Linked DNA regions of Macaca fascicularis. The protein of the gene in region 1 binds, or shares a complex with, the protein of each later gene. Links are inferred from orthologs where the notes say so. Each region holds a gene or a part of one and is shown in the gene's direction. Other genes may lie near its edges. The genes, in order: CDHR5 and MYO7B.

Region 1 (2,977 bases):
GGAGAACCGCTTAAACCTGGGAGGCAGATGTTGCAGTGAGCCAAGATCACGCCACTGCACTCCAGCCTGGGTGACAGAATGAGACTCTGTATCCAAAAAGAAAACAAAGAAAAGAACTGGATTGTCTTTCCTCGCTTGAGATTCTGCTGGTTGCATCCCCAAGTACCTGCATTATTTTTCTGTGGCGCACCTGCCACCTCCTGGCTTTATAAAGTCCTTTTTGTCTGTTGTTGTAAGTCCTGCCAGGACAGGCACCACCGGGCAGAGATTTGTCTCTTGTGATCTCTGCATCCCAGCACCTAGAGCTGTGCAGCCCCCCTGCAGCCCCCCAACACCACTGAGCGAGTGGACGGATAGCTGTCGAGGGGTGCACCTCACTCACGATGGGGAAGGATAGCGTCGAGGGGTACACCTCACTCATGATGGGGAGCGGCTGTGGGAGAGGCTGACGGCCACATCCTGCAGGTGACCCAGCTGAGGGTGTTCGTGTCAGTGCTGGACGTCAATGACAACGCCCCCGAATTCCCCTTTACAACCAAGGAGATAAGGGTGGAAGAGGTGAGGCCAGCGAAGCTGCCAGGGCTGGGCAGGGGGTGCGGGAGCCCAGGGTGAGGGCAAGGGGCGAGTGGTGGCCGGGGGCTCAACCACAGCGGGGGTCCACAGGGGCCAAGAGTGTGGCCAGACCAAGCCCCTCTCCCTCCCTAGGACACTAAAGTAAACTCCACCGTCATCCCTGAGACAGAACTGCAGGCCAAGGACAAAGACAAGGATGACCTTCTGTTCTACACCCTCCAGGAAGCGACCGCAGTCAGTGCCGCCTGCCCTGCCCCAGCGTGAGCCCCTCGCCACTGACACCCGCAGCCGCCCTCGCCCTCCCAGGCTCTTAGGCTGTGTCCTCCCTGATCCTCCCCAGGGTGCCAGTGACTACTTCTCCCTGGTGGGTGTAAACTATCCCGCCCTGAGGCTGGACCGGCCCCTGGACTTCTACGAGCGGCCCAACATGGCCTTCCGGCTGCTGGTGCGGGTGAGCGGCTCACCCCAGCCCTGAGTCCCACATGCTTGAGGTCCCCCTGGCCCCAGCTGCTCCCAGGCCTGATCTGGCTGTTGCAGGACACTCCGGAGGAGAATGTGGAGCCCAGCCACACGGCCACCGCCACGCTGGTGCTGAACGTGGTGCCTGCCGACCTGCGGCCCCCCTGGTTCCTGCCCTGCACCTTCTCAGACGGCTACGTCTGCATCCAAGCTCAGTACCACGGGGCTGTCCCCACGGGGCACACACTGGTAATGGGGAGGGAGGGGCAGTGCCCGGGGCGGGGCCTTCTAGGCAGGTTGGAGGCAGGGACGGCCAGGATCAGAAGAAGGGCAGGGTCAGGGTCAGCGGGTGGGGCCAAGTTTGGTTGTGACTTTGAAACAAATACAGACTCTCCTTATAAACCAATCTTTCCCATCTTGAGGGAGCAAACCCTGAACACACAGAGAGGAGTGTGGGCCCCAGAGCCAGGCGGTCTCAGGGGCCTGGGGAGGTGGGCTGGGGCCCTGGAGTTCTTAAGGGATGGTGAGATCTCTGCCCTGCTCACAGTCACCACTAGGCCCACACAGGCTGTCTGCAAACCTTCACAGCACCAAGGCACCCGGGGCCACCAAACAGCACATGAGAGGCAGAAACGCAGACCCCGGGAACCCCCCGCTTCCTAAATGTCTGCTTAGCCGTCAAGACAAGCATCGTGCAAATGGCACTCAGTATCTTTGGGCAACTTATTCGTTAGTGAGGGACCCACAGGGGTGTGACTCACTGTGATACTGGGACAAGGGACAGTCCTAGACAGGCAGGGATGCCCGGCCACCAGCGGGACTGGGCCCCTCCTCAGCCAGCCCTGCCCTGGCTGACCTTGATGGGGAGCCAGAGGGGCCAGGTTGGGGCCATTCACCCCAGCCTCACGACGTGCCCTCCTCTCCACCATCCTTGAAGCCATCCCCCCTCGTCCTGCGTCCCGGACCCATCTACGCCGAGGATGGAGACCGCGGCATCAACCAAGCCATCATCTACAGCATCTTCAGTGGTGAGTGGGGCCCAGCCCTCAACAATGCCCCGGACCCCTCTCTGTCCCTGTCTCTGTCCCCACCTTGGGCTGGGGAAGCCCCAGGGGCACCTGCCAGCAAGGCAGAGCTGGCTGGGTCCCTGGGCCTCAGGAGGCCGGGACTGAGCACTTCCATCGTCCTCCCAGGAAATGTGAACAGTACATTTGTCATCCACCGAGACTCCGGCAACCTCACCATGGCCAGGAGTGTCCCCAGAGCCATGACCTTTCTTCTGCTGGTGAAGGTGAGGTAGGGACCTGCACGGGGGGCAGGGCAGTGGGGGCAGGGTGGAAGGTAGGGCGGGGGTCAGGGCGGGGGGGCAGGGCCCCTGCCAAGTCTGCATCTATTCTTCCTGAGCCCCAGGCTTCAGCACCAGCTCCACCGTCAACCCCACGAGTCACGGCTGCCTCCCCCGCCTCCAGGGCCAGCAGGCCGACCTTGCCCGCTACTCAGTGACCCAGGTCACCGTGGAGGCTGTGGCTGCAGCCGGGAGCCCGCCCCGCTTCCCCCAGAGCCTGTACCGTGGCACCGTGGCACTTGGCGCTGGAGCAGGTGTTGTGGTCAAGGATGCAGCTGCCCCCTCTCAGCCTCTGAGGGTCCAGGCTCGGGATCCGGAGTTCTCGGTAGGTAGCACACGCAAGGCTGATGCCTGCCGCCCCCACGGCAGCCTTCCTGTTGCCCAGGGTCCCTGGGTCCACCCGGCCTCCCCTCTGTGGGTGGGTCAGGGCTGCAGATGGGAGGCAGCCTGGCCGGGGACTCAATGAAACCCTGTCCAGGACCTCAACTCGGCCATCACGTATCGAATTACCAACCACTCACATTTCCGGATGGAGGGAGAGGTTGTGCTGACCACCACCACACTGACCCAGGCAGGGGCCTTCTACGCAGAGGTGAAGGG
Region 2 (3,809 bases), on another chromosome or scaffold:
GTGCTTGGGAACCCCCCGGGCCAGACTGTATGGACATTCTAAACATTTGATACATATTGAATATTTTCAGATCACCCTTCAGATTTGATGCGTTTATTACATTCCCAAAGTCAGTATGTGAATAGTAGCCACTTTTTAAAGAAATAACACTGTATTAAACAAACAGTGAAAAGAAAGTTTGGTTGGATATTATGGTCGCTGATGGACACGGCACAGTGGTGCTGGGGAGAGGAACGGGTGAAGGCAGGGAATCAGGAAAGAGGAAGGAAGGAAACTGGAAGACAAGGAACTAGAGGTGGTCCCCAAGAGAGGCCCCCAGAGACAAAGCAGAGCTCCAGAGAAGAAGAGAGAAGCGCCCGGGACACAGACTCGGAGCAGGATGCCCTCCTGCACGGAGCGAGTCACAGACCCACAAGCATAGGCGGGCAAGAGCGAGCCTGGGCTGGGGCACACAGCGCCTTCCACAGCTAGCGCAGCCCCGCCCTACAGATGCTAATGAGGGGACAGGGAACGGCTTTCCTCCCTCCTCCTAACGGGTCCCCACACCCCTCCCAGGTAGAATAGGGCAGCACGGTGGCTCACGCCTGTAATCCCAGCACTTTGGGAAGCCAAGACAGGTGGATCACCTGAGGTCAGGAGTTTGAGACCAGCCTGGCCAACATGGCAAAACCCTGTCTCTACTGAAACTACAGAAATTAGCCAGGCGCAGTGGCACGCGCCTGTAGTCCCAGCTACTTGGGAGTCTGAGGCGGGAGAATTGCTTGAACTCGGGAGGCGGAGCTTGCAGTGAGCCGAGATCGCACCACTGCACTCCAGCCTGGGTGACAGAGCGAGACTCTGTCTCAAAAAAGAAAAAAAAAAAAAAAAAAAAAAAAATAGGGCTGCGCCAGTCCCTGGGGACGTCCCAGGTCCCTCCCTGCAGGATCCGTCTCCAGGCACTGGCCTCGCTTTAAGTCGAGGCTTCTCAGAAGGATCCACCAACTCTTTTACCCTGAGCACTGGGTGAGGGATTCACTGGGGAGGCAGGTGATGGAAGTGACATCCAGGATCCCCCTCTCAGGCCCCATACGCTGAGAGGCAAGCCACACCACTGGCCGTGCGAGAGCAGGTGGTGGACGCCGCCCGCCTGCAGTGGCCGCTGCTCTTCTCCCGGCTCTTTGAAGTCACCACACTCTCAGGTAATGGCATCTGATGGGGGGCGGGGAGCGGGTACGGGCTGGGCACCCAGGGATCCCATGCAGCCCTCACATTGCCGTCTCTCCTGGCCAGGCCCCCGCCTGCCCAAGACGCAGCTGATCTTGGCTGTTAACTGGAAGGGGCTTTGCTTCCTGGACCAGCGGGAGAAGACGCTGCTGGAGCTCTCTTTCCCAGAGGTCATGGGTCTGGTTGCCAACAGGTGGGGGCCCTGAGGGAAGATCTCCTCACACCCTGAGTCCTTGGATTGATGCATCTGGGGGCTCAGGGAGAGATGGGGAGAGGGGCGGCGTGCGCTCCCGGGTGACAGGCCAGGGTGGTGGGACAAGAATCGACGTATACAATGCCCTCTGTACTTGGGAGTCCTACCCTCCCACACCAGGCTGCACTGCCCACGAAGTACTCCATTGGAGCATCACGGTTGCACTCGCAGCTTCTCTTTGAAACCCAGATCCACCCGGAAAGGGCACAGAAGCGTGCAGCCTCTGGTGTGCACTTATTTAGAAGGCTCCTTTCTTTGTCATGGACGAGAACTGGTAGCCTGGAGGGTACAGATTGTCTGGGACAGCGGCAAGGGACAGTGCCTGGTGTGTCCCGGGGCACGGGGCAGGGCAGGGGGGCCTCTTAGGCTGGGGCTGACCCCCACTCCCAGGGGTCTCCATGGCTCTCGTTGACTGGGAACTTTTTCATGCCTTCTGGGAAGTCCCACCCAAGCCCTGCCAGAGTGCCCCTTGGTTAAAGCACACGACAGAGTGGCACATGCATCTCTGGGCTGTGCCAGGTGTACAGTGGCCACCACTCCCCACTGGCCACCTCTCCCCACTGGCCACCTCTCACTGAGGCTGTCTGTGCTGGGTACTTTCCTGTATGCCACGAAGTCCTGACAGCATCACCTGTTCTGCAGATGAGTAAACTGTGGCACGCCGAGGCTAGGTGGCTTAGAGTTAGCACATGGCAGAGCCGCCGACTCAGCTCAGCTCTGATCTTTGCAGCGTCCCTGTGGTGTCCCTGCACGCCGGCCACCTCATTATCTGCCCAGAGCCGACCCCACACACGGGCTGCACCACTTGCAGCCTCTGAGGGACCCTGTGCCCCGCCGTCCTTCATTTGTCCAGACCCACAGTGGTGTCTGGCCTGGTCCTGGCCCTGGTAGAGCAGCTCTGTGTCCTCATCTGTGACCCAGGACCCCCAGTCCCACCTCCTGAGGCTGTTGAGGGGCTGGATCACGGGGAGGTGGAGGGGGCTCCTGGTCATGCTGCCCTTTGTGTCCAGGGAGGCCCAGGGCAGGCAGAGGCTGCTGCTCTCCACCATGCATGAGGAATACGAGTTTGTGTCGCCCAGCAGCGTGGCCATCGCTGAGTTGGTGGCCCTGTTCCTGGAGGGCCTGAAGGAGAGGTCCGTGTTCGCCATGGCCCTACAGGACAGGAAGGCCACAGGTGCCAGACTGGGTGGGGTGGGGGGAGGGCTGCGCGTGGGGTCTGTAGGGACGCGGCGTGCTCATCTCCACACACGGCAGCCGCAAGGCAAGCAGAGGGAGGGCGGGCCCCAAAGCTCTGTGGGGGCAACTTTAGACCAGGCCCTACCTTCTCTCAGCCACTGCTTCCTCTTCTACAAAATGAGGGGCTAAAGGAGGTGGTCTCCAGCCCCGCAAGGCCAGCCATGCTCAGCGCTGCACGGCTGCAAAAGCACCGAGAGGGGCCAGCCTCCAGCCCAGGGAAGCTTTGAACACCATCCCCACAGTGCACTGCTGCAGAAGCACCCCATTATCCCGTTTTACAGGCACGAGGCCAGAGGCCCAGAGACGGAGGTAGCTCGCCCAGGGTCACACAGCTCAAGGGGGAGGAGCCTAGTTCTTGGCCGCAGTTCTCCTGCAAGCCAGCACTCCAGAGAGCTGGGCTGTGTCTGTGGGCTGTGGGGGAGCATAACAAAGCCCCAGGACCCCTGCTGGCCCAGGCTGCTGGCGGGGCAGTCATGGGCAGTGGGTGGTGCAGTTAGTGCAGGGGCTTCAGAAGGGGGTGCTGGTTGGGATGCAGCAGAAGAGGCTGTGCGTGGGGTTTTTGGGCAGTGAGAAACGTCAGCTGAGATGTGCTGCCCTGTTGCCCCATTCAGTACTCACGGCCACCGCACGAGGGAAAGAGGATTGCCATCTCCAAATTCCAGATGAGGAAGCGGGCTAGAGAGGCAGGCAGCACTCAGGCCAGGCGTGGGGACCGCCAGCCTGTGCATCCTCCCCTCCCTCATCCCTGGCTCCTGGTCAGCCTTCCGAGGGTCTCCCAGGGCTAGGGCTGCAGTCACAGCTCTCGAGCCCCCGCGCACCCTGGGCTCTGCGCCTGTGCAGCTGTAGCAGGTGACAGCTGTCTGAGGCCCCTGAGGTTCCAGTCCCACCACTGCTCACTCTTGGGGTGGTCTTCTGCCCACCACTCTGTGCCTCTGTTTCATCCGTCAAGGGAGATGACCCCCAAAATGCCAGCACAGCCTCTGGCCCCTGCAGAGCCCTCAGCAAATGGCAGCCTCCCTACCCTTACAGATGACGCCACCCTCCTGGCCTTCAAGAAGGGGGACCTGTTGGTCCTGACAAAGAAGCAGGGGCTGCTGGCCTCTGAGAACTGGACCCT

What was found.
Region 2: CDHR5 (region 1) and MYO7B share a complex: the UniProt entries of both Homo sapiens proteins name them as parts of the IMAC/intermicrovillar adhesion complex. The link is inferred for Macaca fascicularis from reciprocal best matches to the Homo sapiens genes CDHR5 and MYO7B.

The regions. Positions count from the first base shown.
Region 1 is NC_088388.1:521,767-524,743, reverse strand, and holds part of CDHR5 (cadherin-related family member 5), read left to right. Parts: intron 1-465; coding exon 466-558; intron 559-705; coding exon 706-807; intron 808-913; coding exon 914-1,024; intron 1,025-1,110; coding exon 1,111-1,281; intron 1,282-1,969; coding exon 1,970-2,060; intron 2,061-2,225; coding exon 2,226-2,323; intron 2,324-2,442; exon of another isoform or gene 2,443-2,501; coding exon 2,502-2,702; intron 2,703-2,855; coding exon 2,856-2,969; intron 2,970-2,977. UniProt on the Homo sapiens protein: Intermicrovillar adhesion molecule that forms, via its extracellular domain, calcium-dependent heterophilic complexes with CDHR2 on adjacent microvilli. Thereby, controls the packing of microvilli at the apical membrane of epithelial cells.
Region 2 is NC_088386.1:3,907,849-3,911,657, reverse strand, and holds part of MYO7B (unconventional myosin-VIIb), read left to right. Parts: intron 1-1,060; coding exon 1,061-1,178; intron 1,179-1,269; coding exon 1,270-1,396; intron 1,397-2,466; coding exon 2,467-2,630; intron 2,631-3,721; coding exon 3,722-3,809. UniProt on the Homo sapiens protein: Myosins are actin-based motor molecules with ATPase activity. Their highly divergent tails are presumed to bind to membranous compartments, which would be moved relative to actin filaments.